3 linked regions of the Oryctolagus cuniculus genome follow. The protein of the gene in region 1 purifies or fractionates together with the protein of each later gene. This does not show direct contact. Links are inferred from orthologs where the notes say so. Each region holds a gene or a part of one and is shown in the gene's direction. Other genes may lie near its edges.

Region 1 (4,147 bases):
TATAGTAGGTTAAGCCTCTGCCTGTGGTGTCTGCATCCCATATGGGCACTGGTTCGAGTCCTGGCTGCTCCACTTCCGATCCAGCTCTCTGCTATGGCCTGGGAAAGCAGAAGATGGCCCAAGTCCTTGGGCCCCTGCACCCATTGGAAAACCTGGAAGAAGCTCCTGGCTTTGGATCCACACAGCTCCAGCTGTTGCAGCCATTTTGGGAGTGAACCAGATGGAAGACCTTTCTCTGTGTCTCTACCTCTCAAATAGGTCTTTAAAAAAAAAAAAAAGTTTTAATTTATTTGAAAGAGGAGAGCGAGAGATCTCATCTGCTGGTTTGCTCCCCAAGTGACCACAATGGCCAGGGCTGGCCAGGCCAAAACTAGGAGCTTAATCTGGGTCTCCCACACAGGGGCCCGAGGACTCAGGCTATCTTCCCATCTCCCACTGCTTTCCCAGGCACATTAGCAGGGAGCTGGATCAGAAGTGGAGCAGCCGGAACTCAAACTAGCACCCATTTGGGATGCTGTCATAGTAGGCGGCTGCCTAACCTGCTATGCCACATTTGCCCTAGCAGCTCAGGTGGGTGTATCCCACCTTGGAGTGCCTGGATTCAATTCCCATCAGGAATTCCGGGCATCCTAGGAAACAACACATAGACCTTGGCCTCCCAGAACACACACCCACATGTAAGCCAGAACCCCAGGAAATAACCCATGTAGGTTCTGGGCTCCAAGGAAACAAGATGTGTTCATAGCACAGCACCTGGTTTGAGTCCCAGCTACTCTACATTTCCAATGCAGCTTCCTGAAGGCAGCAGATGATAACTGAAGTACTTGGGCCCAGCACCCAATGCGGCCGACCAGGATGGCGTTCCAGGCTCCGTCTAGCTAGCGCAGGTAACACATGCTACGGAGTGACACCTTGTGCTATGCTTGTTGGCTGACTGTGGCTTTTTTTTTTTTTTTTTTCAATTTTTCACAGTTCACAAAACATTTATTGTGTGACGTTCAGACTGCGGCTTTTTAATCCTCTCCACTTCCAGACTCTCCCCTGCGTCTGCTCCAAGCAGCATTTTCATGATGCTCCTCTGCGACAAGGGACAAGGGGCCCGACCAGCTGCCCCCCACCACGCACACAGCTGTCGGTCACTAGATTTACACGCTGCCTTACAGGATTGTGGCTGTGTCCTGAGCACTTCAGGATTTTCAACTTCCTGGAGGACAGGCATCATGGCTTGCTACAACTTTATTGGACTAGGCTTAGACTATCCCGTGACTCTCAACACAAGGTGCACCTGAGCGGCTCCAGCGCCTCCCTCCCTTGCGGGTCATAGAGACGTCCGGCGCAGCGAGGCCGCCGGGCACGGCCATAGAGACGCGCAGGAGACGGCTAGAGCGTCGCTCACGCGGCCGGCTTCCTCTCGGCTACTCCTCCGTCCCAACATGGCGCAGTCGATCAACATCACGGAGCTGAACCTGCCGCAGCTAGAAATGCTCAAGAACCAGCTGGATCAGGTGGGGATGGAGCCCGAGCAACACCTTTCGCGCGCTCCACATCCCGTCGGCCACACGCAGCCTCTCGCCCCCCACCCCGTTCCTTTCCAGTTTGAGCCGTTTCCCTTCCCCGGCTCCCAGGGTCCGCCCCTCTCGGGCCCCGGGTCCTCAGCCGGCCCCGCTTTCCCGTCCCGTGTAGGAGGTGGAGTTCTTGTCCACGTCCATCGCCCAGCTCAAGGTGGTACAGACCAAGTACGTGGAAGCCAAGGACTGTCTGAACGTGCTGAACAAGAGCAACGAGGGTATGCGGCGTAGGAGCGGGCAACGCGGGGACCGCGGCGGCGAGAGGACCGGGCGCTGCGCGCTGAGCGCCGCTGCACGCGCCCTGTGCATGCTGCCGGGCTCTGAACTCCCTTTACGGCTGCCAGCCTGCCCACGCTGTTTGTCTTCATTGCTTTCACAGGGAAAGAACTGCTCGTCCCACTGACAAGTTCCGTATCCTTTCCACTGGGATTGCTACCGCGCCGCCTCCCGGGGGCGGGGCGGACACCGTAGAACTCCCCCTTGATTTTTTTTTTTAATTTGAAAGGCAGAGTTAGAGAGAGGCAGAGAGAGAGTGGCCTTCCATCCGTTGGTTAATTGCCCAATTGGCCGCAATGGCCAGTGCTGTGCCGATCCGAAGCCAGGAGCTTCTTCCGGGTCTCCCACACGGGTGCAGGGGCCCAAGGACTTTGGCCATCTTCCACTGCTTTCCCAGGCCACAGCAGAGAGCTGGATTGGAAGTGGAGCAGCCGGGACTCAAACCTGCGCCCACATGGGAAGCGGCACTGCAGGCAGCGGCTTTACTGGCTACCCCCTCCCCCCAGTGATTTTGAGAGGGCTCTTGTTGTACACACTTCGTAGCCTCAGGTCGACATCCAGCTCATGCCTTCTGAGTGCCAAGGGATATGGTATGTAGAGTTGTGGTCTCCCCCCCATGCTGTTAGAGGCCATGAATATGAAGAAAAAGCTGATCTTCTTTTGCTAGTATTAAACAGGGAGGTTGGCTCTGTTCATTAACCCTAAATTTCACTTTCCCCGTGGCCCATTCCTCAGCTGCTGGAAGGAGCCTGGGTTAGGCTCACCTGCTGGGGGTTGACCTGGAATGAGCAGGTTCTGGCAGTGGCGAACCTGCGGTGCGTAGCTGGCGTTTGGGAAAGGGCACAGGAACGGCGGTGTAGCAGTGAATGGGCATGAGCCACTTCGTGATGGGGGACGATGAGGGGACATGAAGCTGGCTCTTCACGGGGTCCACTCCAGGCAGGGGGAGACCATCACCAAATCCAGTCTTTGCCGAGGAGTCCTTGGGAGGAGTTACAACAATCGCTTGGAGGGCGGGAGATGGAGTCGGGGCTAGAGTTCCAGCACAAGCCAGCTTTCTCCAAAAGGAGCCAGCATCTTTGCGGCTGCCTTTTGGGGGCTTCAGGCATACTTCTTTTCTTTTCTTCTTTTCTTTTCTTTTCTTTTCTTTTCTTTTCTTTTTTCTTTCTTTCTTCTTTCTTTTCTTTCTTTCTTTCTTTCTTTCTTTTTTTTTTTTTTTTTGACAGAGTTAGAGAGACAAAGGTCTTCCTTTTTCCGATGGGTCATCCCCCAAATGGCCGCTATGGCCGGCACACTGCGCCGATCCGAAGCCAGGAGCTGGGTACTTCCTCCCGGTCTCCCATGCGGGTGCAGGGCCCAATCACTTGGGCCATCCTCCACTGCCTTCCCGGGCCACAGCAGAGAGCTGGCCTGGAAGAGGAGCAACCGGGACAGAATCCAGTGCCCCAACCGGGACTAGAACCTGGGGTGCCGGCGCTGCAGGCGGAGGATTAGCCTAGTGGGCTGTAGCACTGGCTTTCAGGCATATTTCTAAGGCCTCCAGATTACTCAGTCCTTACCCCTTGTGGTTTGTTTTAAAAAAAAGACGGTCAGGGCCAGCACTGTGGTGCAACAAATTAACCCACGGCCTGCAGCACCCGCCTTTGTTGGTTCAAGTCCTGGCTGCTCCACTTCTTTAGAAAAAAAAAAAAAAAGACATTTATTTATTTGAGAGGCAGAGTTACAGACAGAGGGAGTGAGAGACAGAGACTGGAAAGCCCTTCCATCCACTGGTTCACTCCACAATGGCTGCAACAGCCAGAGCAGCGCCAACCTGAAGCCAGGAGCTTCTTCCAGGTCTCCCACGTGGGTACAGGGGCCCAAGCACTTGGGCCATCCTCTACTGCTTTCCCAGACCACAGTAGAGAGCTGGATTGGAAGAGGAGCAGCTGAGACTTGAACCAGCACCCATATGGATGCTGGCTCTGCAGGTGGAGGCTTAGCCCCACTACACCACAGCGCCAGTCCTGGCCAACTTCTGATCCAGCTCCCTGCTGATGCGCCTGGGTAAGCAGCAGCAGATGGCCCAAGTGTTTGGGCCCCTGCAGACCCAGAAGAAGCTCCAGCCGGCTAGTTGCGGCCACTTGAGGAGTGAATAGATCTCTCTCTGTAACTCTGCCTTTCAAATAAATTAATTAAAAAAGAAAGAAAGAAGCCGTAGGAGGCCAAGCAGCTGGCCCACAGGGACTCGGGGCTCATGCTGGGCTGGTTCCCCTTAACCCTTGCCTCGCAGATGTACGTCCCTGGCAAGCTGCACGACGTGG
Region 2 (2,840 bases), on another chromosome or scaffold:
CTTCCTCAGCTTCAGCTGCCTCAAGTCTGCTGCGCGTCTTGGACTTGGAAGGCGGCAGCTACAACAGCGTTGGGAGTGGAGGAGGAGGAGGAGGAGGAGCGGAGGGAGAACACGGAGAATCACAGCAGAGCCACCGGGCCCCACCTCCATCCTTCTCACCCAGGCGCTCCCAGCCTCCAGTCCTTCCCCACCGTCCAGCGATTCTCACCTTTTTAGATTTGTCAATGCGACGGAACTTCCGGGCTGCCTCCACCGGGACGGGGGCGGGGCCCGGGAAGGGGTCCTGGGCCTGGGGCAGAGAGGAGGCAGTCAGCTCACAGCTTCGGGCTGACCCCCCAACCCTTTCACTCGCAAAGCACAGAGAAACCTGCCCCCGCCACCCTGCCGCGGTGCAGGCTCACCCCAGACAAGCTCCGCTGGGGCTCCGGCTTCTTCGGCCCTCGAGACTTCCTCGCGACCAGGGTCTTCTTGGAGATGCGCGACTTCTTTGTGACCTGAGTGTTCTTTGGTCTCTGGGGCCGGAGCTCCCGGTTCCGCTTCTTCTTAGGAGGCGGGCCTGGAGAGGCGCCGGTGGCGCTCGGAGTGGTGTCCACTTCCCAGTATCGCCGCGGTTTCTACGGGCAGATCAGGAGCCCTGGAACTCCGCGGCCCACGTCCCGCCCCCGAACCCCACAGCTAAAACCTCCCTGCCCGTCCAGAGAAGCCTGTACCTTCCTCTTGGCCTGAGGTTTGTCCTTCTTGGGTGGGGCATCCTGACTGGCCTTTGGGACTGTCTCCATCTCGCCCACTGGAACAACGATCCACGTGCAAATCTCTCAGCTGTCCCACAGTCGGCTTAGACTCTCCCGGAAGTCCTCTGTTCCGCCTCAGCCAATCAGCATCGTTCCAGGGCTGAAGTCTTGAGCACGCCATCTTGAGTGAGGGCACACTCTCCTTTAAGGGGCGGGGCGTGCTGTGGCATCTCCCTCGGGCGCCGCAGCTTATACCCGAGGAATGGGGAAAAAAAGTCAAGTCCGGGCCAGAAACCAGTAACAGAATAGTCTTTTTCCGGATTAACTTCTCTGTCTTGCCTAAAACCTTCTGAGTCCAGTCATTTCAGCCGAATGCCGCTTATTAAAAATGTTAGAACTACATTTCCCGACATGCAACCTGGAGGCAACTTCCGGATTGATTTTCCCAGCATTCCATGTTTACTTCCGGGTTGATTAATACAGAAGGGAGAACGTGAGTAGGTTAGGGTACCGTTTCAGGGGTTTTGCGTTTCTTTTCGTCCTGCACCCACTGGGGTCGGGTCGATTCGACTTCCCGGACAGGGAGAGGCCGCGGTGCCCCGAAGGACTGCCTCTCAAGAGGACTGTCATTTCCGTCGGCCCGACCAGAAAGGGGAGCTCGACCCCAGCGCCCCTCTCCCGTTCCCGCAGGCTTTCATCCCCGCCATGGCCGAGCTGATCCAGAAGAAGCTGCAGGGAGAAGTGGAGAAGTATCAACAGCTACAGAAGGGTAAGGGACCGGGTGGGCGTAGTCTCGCCGCAGCCCGCAGACTAGCCGAAACGAGCTCTCCGCCCCAGCCGGCCCGCTCCTTCCCCGCCTGTATACTCGCCCCTTCTTCCCGGTCTGCTTCCTCACATCCGCCTTCTGGGCCAGGACTGTGGGAGCCCGTGGCACTCTTGGTGTCCCACTCACGTCTCCCTTCCTCCCTAGACTTGAGTAAATCCATGTCAGGGAGGCAGAAGCTTGAAGCCCAACTAACGGAAAACAACATCGTGAAGGAGGTGAGGGGCCGGGAGTTGTGGGGGCGGAGCAGCCTGGACCGGCTGCGGTTCTGATCAGACCCGTCCCGCTCGCCCACCAGGAACTGGCTCTGCTGGACGGGTCCAACGTGGTCTTTAAACTGCTGGGGCCGGTGCTGGTTAAGCAGGAGCTGGGGGAGGCGCGGGCCACGGTGGGGAAGAGGCTGGACTACATCACAGCTGAAATGTGAGTTTTTGTCCCACTGCCCTGGCTGTCGGCCGGCGGGTGCTGGGGACCTGAGTGGATTGCCCTTCGGAGCAGCCCACGGAAGCCTCCCCTTTTAACGCGGCCTGCCCCTCCCCCTAGCAAGTCCCTCTAACTTCTCCCTGTCTTCTCTGGCCCCTGGCCTCTCCTCAGTAAGCGATACGAATCCCAGCTCCGGGACCTGGAACGGCAGTCAGAGCAGCAGAGGGAGACCCTGGCCCAGCTGCAGCAGGAGTTCCAGCGGGCCCAGGCGGCCAAGGCAGGGGCTCCCGGGAAGGCCTGACCTCGGGGCGGGGCGGGGTGGGATGGGCCACTCTAAGTACCTAATAAAATGTAAACACCTGGCTCTGTTGTCCTGCTTGTCTGTTCCCCCGGCCTCCATCACCTGACCCACACACCACACACCACTGTTACTCCCTCAAGCCCACATTCCAGCACCTGCAGTCTCTGGAACTAAACTCTAAAATGTCTCAAAGCTGCTCCTCACCTGTACTCGTATGTACAGCCCTTAATTCTCCGTTATTTTCCTAAGACACGGCCTTTTAGGAAACACAAGGACATTTACAACCTAAGCATATTGTTGGGAGTGTCGTTTAAATTGAAGAACTCAGAATTCTCTGAGAACCCAGGATGAAATGTGACTCCTCCCCTTGCTGTGAATACAAGTGCTCCGTAGGGCTCATGGGAAAATGGAAATAAAAGGTTGGGTTACAGCAGGTGGGGGCTTTTGACTCTGCTTCTCAATAAAAATATTTCCATGCAAGACATTTTGAATCATGCATTTTCCATGTACTCTTTGAAGACCCATCACATGCATGACTCCAAAGCTTCTGTACCAAAATAAC
Region 3 (4,073 bases), on another chromosome or scaffold:
CACTGCACTCCCTGGCCACAGCAGAGAGCTGGCCTGGAAGAGAGGCAACTGGGACAGAATCCGGCGCCCCGACCGGGACTAGAACCCATTGTGCCGGCGCCACTAGGCGGAGGATTAGCCTAGTGAGCCGCGGCGCTGGTCCCTTTCTTTCTTTCTTTTTTTTTTTTTTAAAGAATTATTATTTTTTAATTTGAAAGACAGAGTTACAGAGAGAGGTAGAGCCAGAGAGGTCTTCCATGTGCTGGTTCACTCCGGAAATGACCGCAACGGCCAGAGCTGAGCAAATCTGAAGCCAGGAGCCGGGAGCCTCCCCTGGGTCTCCACACGGGTGCAGGGGCCCAAGGAGTTAAGCCATCTTCTACTGCTTTCCCAGGCCACAGCAGAAAGGTGGATCACAAGTGGAGCAGCCGGGACTCAAACCCAATTGCCTGTTTCAAATGCTAGGTCCTTTTATAGCAGAGGTTCTCCAAATGTGTTCTGTAGACAACTTTTGCGCCACCAGGTCATGGGGAGTTAGGATAATTGCAAATTTTTAAGCCCTCAAAGATTCTGAATAAGCTTGGAATGAGACCTAAGAATCTATATTATTTAACATTTATTACTATTATTTGAAAGAGAGAGAGAGAGAGAGAGAGAGAGAGAGGGAGAGAGAGAAATCTTGATTCCTTCCACTGATTCATTCTACAAAAGTCCTCAAGTGCCAGGATTGGCCAGAACAAAGCTGGCCAATTCAGGTCTGCCATATGGGTGGCAGGAACCCTATTACTCGATCCATTACTAAGGCCTTTCAGGGTGTTCATTAGCAGGAAACCAGAATTGGAAGCCTAATCAGGATTCAAACCCATACACTCCAGTATGAGATGCTGATGTCTTAGCCACTGTACTAAACATTTTTCCAAAAATTTTTCCAAAAATCAAACATATCACCTCCCTCGAGAATCTCTAATCTAGAAAGTCTTTGGGAGCATTCAGTAGAAATGAGTTCTTTGGTGGAAAACCCAAGCCTTCTAATAGTCTTCTCCATATGGTTAGGCCTGAGGTCTGGGGTCCCTTCTTACTCATCTCTGACAGCACAGGACGAGCTGTAGGACTGAATAACTGATGAGGGTTTGACCTGATCCACGCACTTCTCAATTGAGTAGAAAAACTATCAAACTGTTCAAAGCCACAAGCGAAATCTACACGTTGGGCTGTGTCTGGAAGATGTGGAGGAACAAGCCAGACCTGATAGGTCAGCAAGGGAAGACAAATTGAATCGGAATCTTGAATATTTAGAGTAACCCGCTCCGCAACAGGGAAACAAACCCGATTAGCGGCACGCAGGCGCAGGCGCATTAGGAGGGCGACCCATCAAAACGCAGCCCTTCCCCCACCCCTTTCCGGCCTTCTTCCAATGCGCAGGCGCAGAGGGGTGCATCAAGATGGCGGCCCCCGTGGATCTGGAGTTGAAGAAGGTAAAAGAGGGTCTTGAGCAGGCAGAGGCTTCTCTTTGGAGGCCGAAGGGACTGTGGACAGGAATATCGAGTGAGGCTTGAATGTTTGCGGGAGCAAAGAGGCGCTGGAGGACTGGGGAATGTTTTCCCGGAGGCCTGAGGCGCCGCGGGGCCTCCTTGAGCCGAGTGGGCAGCTAGCGGCTCTTGCTGGGTGGGAGCTAGTTGAGCCGGGCCGGGTCCGAGTGCGAGCTTACCCGTTTGTTCTGAGCCCCAGAGCTATTTCGTTGCGTTTGGAGCCTTCAGGGGCTCAGTTTCATGGTAAGAACAGAAGACAACGTCTTAAAACCTCTTTGGTGCGGTTGCCTGGGGCTGAGGCGTGTGTAATTCTGCCTCATTTAATTCGGGAGAAAAAACCCAACACCTGTTTTAAAGCCATTTATTCCCATCCTGTACCTTGAAAAGCCGCAGGAAGGCATTGTCCCCTCTCCTCCTCCCCTCCTTTTGCGAAGGGCTTGTCTAAAAAAAGGAGCAGCAGAGTTTGCCAAATAAAAGCATTTTGAGAAGGAATTGCGTTTCTTCTGTTCAAACAATTGCTTATAAATGTTTGGTACCGGAGAGCAGTCAGGATTCTAACTCCACTGCCGACTCAAAACGTGTGCTTTGGGGGGCGAGGGCGGATTGGAAAGGACCCTGGACTGCATAGGATTTAAATCTACTTTTCTAGAAAGGGAAACAACTCTAGAGAAGTCTCAAAGAGTGGAATTAGAATACCATGTTCTCTTACAGGTTTTTTTGACCAGTAGTTTAAGTTCTTCATGGAAAACATCTGAACAGTCTTTGCATTAGAAATAGGGCAGCTGAAATAGCTCTTATTAAATGAAGCTGTTACTGTTTTAAAGGTGTTTGCGTCTCGTTTCTTCTGCTGCTCTTGTCTTGAAACTTGTAAGTTGCTTTTACATGCTGTTCTCTAATATCTTGGCTATATCTTCCTCCATAAACTGTATAGAACAGTCAGAAAATACCTGAAATTTTACATTTCAGAATAAAATTGTGTTTTCTGAAAAATTTACCCTTTTTTCCATTAAAAGTGTAAACTTAAACCAAGTTTTATTTATTTATTTATTTATTTTTGACAGGCAGAGTGGACAGTGAGAGAGAGACAGAGAGAAAGGTCTTCCTTTGCCGTTGGTTCACCCTCCAATGGCCGCTGCGGCCGGCGCACCGCGCTGATCCGGTGGCAGGAGCCAGGAGCCAGATGCTTTTCCTGGTCTCCCATGGGGTGCAGGGCCCAAGCACCTGGGCCATCCTCCACTGCACTCCCTGGCCACAGCAGAGAGCTGGCCTGGAAGAGGGGCAACCGGGACAGAATCCGGCGCCCCAACTGGGACTAGAACCTTGTGTGCCAGCGCCGCTAGGCGGAGGATTAGCCTAGTGAGCCGCTGCGCTGGCCTTAAACCAAGATTTTTTAAAAAATATTTTTTTTGAGAGGAAGAATTACAGAAGGTGAGAGGGAGTGATAGAGAGAGGCCTTCCATCCACTGGTTCACTCCGTAAGTGGCCGCAACTGAACCCATCCAAAGCCAGGAGCCAGGAGCTAGGAGCTTATTCCAGGTCTCCTGCGTGGGTACAGGGGCCCAAGGACTTGGGCCATCTTCTGCTGCTTTCCCAGGACATAGCAGAGAGTTGGATTGAAAGAGGAGCAGCTGGGACTAGAACCGGTGCTGCAGAAACCAAGATTTTGATGAAGAACTATCAAAAGTATTAACTGTGAAAGGGCTTGCTTCCCAGTACTCTTTGAATTTATTGATAAGAAACAAGTAAACAATTAATACAAACTAAGAAAAAAATTATAGGCCGGCGCCATGGCTCACTAGGCTAATCCTCTGCCTGCGGCGCTGGCACCACGGGTTCTAGTCCCGGTTGGGGTGCCGGATTCTGTCCCGGTTGCCCCTCTTCCAGGCCAGCTCTCTGCTGTGGCCCGGGAGTGCAGTGGAGGATGGCCCTAGTGCTTAGGCCCTGCACCCGCATGGGAGACCAGGAGGAAGCACCTGGTTCCTGGCTTTGGATCGGCACAGCACACCGGCCACAGCGGCCATTTGGGGGGTGAACCCACGGAAGGAAGGCCTTTCTCTCTGTCTCTCTCACTTTCTAACTCTGCCTGTCAAAAAAAAAAAAAAATTATAGACAAGTTGAATAATTTTGACAACCAATTAACAAGGAAACGTATATCAGTTTTTTTTTTTTTTCTTTTTTAAAGATTTATTTATTTGAAAGGGAGGGAGAGGCAGAAGCAGAGAGAGAATCCATTGATTGATTCCCTAGATGTCTGCAATGGTGGAGCTGGGCCAGGCCAAAGCCAGGAGTTTCTTCCTGGTCTCCCATGTTGGTGCAGGGGCCCAACGACTTGAGCCATCCTCCACTGCCTTCTCAGGCACCCTAGCTAGCAGGAAGCTGGATCAGAAGTGGAACAGCCAGAATTCGATGGCATTGCTGCAGGCTCAACCTTCAGTGCCCTAGCATTGGCTCCGTGTATCAGTTTTATTTCCTAATGTCTTCATAAGCTATTTTTTTGAGTGGTATTTAATAGGAAATATAGACATCTCTTCTTCCCCAAAGTAAATCTTCTGAAACTTTGCTAGA

The links. Proteins that work in one complex are often made in the same cells at the same time.
Region 2: the proteins of PFDN5 (region 1) and PFDN6 purify together in Homo sapiens (affinity purification with mass spectrometry; 5 studies listed by BioGRID and IntAct, with this or other methods). This does not show direct contact. The link is inferred for Oryctolagus cuniculus from reciprocal best matches to the Homo sapiens genes PFDN5 and PFDN6.
Region 3: the proteins of PFDN5 (region 1) and PFDN1 purify together in Homo sapiens (affinity purification with mass spectrometry; 7 studies listed by BioGRID and IntAct, with this or other methods). This does not show direct contact. The link is inferred for Oryctolagus cuniculus from reciprocal best matches to the Homo sapiens genes PFDN5 and PFDN1.

Annotation. Positions count from the first base shown.
Region 1 is NC_091442.1:56,307,166-56,311,312, forward strand, and holds the start of PFDN5 (prefoldin subunit 5), read left to right. Parts: upstream 1-1,347; 5' UTR 1,348-1,433; coding exon 1,434-1,505; intron 1,506-1,683; coding exon 1,684-1,786; intron 1,787-1,947; coding exon 1,948-1,979; intron 1,980-4,116; coding exon 4,117-4,147. UniProt on the Homo sapiens protein: Binds specifically to cytosolic chaperonin (c-CPN) and transfers target proteins to it. Binds to nascent polypeptide chain and promotes folding in an environment in which there are many competing pathways for nonnative proteins.
Region 2 is NC_091436.1:135,834,645-135,837,484, reverse strand, and holds PFDN6 (prefoldin subunit 6), read left to right. Parts: upstream 1-1,178; 5' UTR 1,179-1,436; coding exon 1,437-1,500; intron 1,501-1,701; coding exon 1,702-1,772; intron 1,773-1,852; coding exon 1,853-1,977; intron 1,978-2,148; coding exon 2,149-2,278; 3' UTR 2,279-2,340; downstream 2,341-2,840. Other genes in the region: WDR46 (WD repeat-containing protein 46), read right to left, coding at 1-58, 209-289, 402-614, 711-779. UniProt on the Homo sapiens protein: Binds specifically to cytosolic chaperonin (c-CPN) and transfers target proteins to it. Binds to nascent polypeptide chain and promotes folding in an environment in which there are many competing pathways for nonnative proteins.
Region 3 is NC_091437.1:27,961,788-27,965,860, reverse strand, and holds the start of PFDN1 (prefoldin subunit 1), read left to right. Parts: upstream 1-1,273; 5' UTR 1,274-1,421; coding exon 1,422-1,454; intron 1,455-4,073. UniProt on the Homo sapiens protein: Binds specifically to cytosolic chaperonin (c-CPN) and transfers target proteins to it. Binds to nascent polypeptide chain and promotes folding in an environment in which there are many competing pathways for nonnative proteins.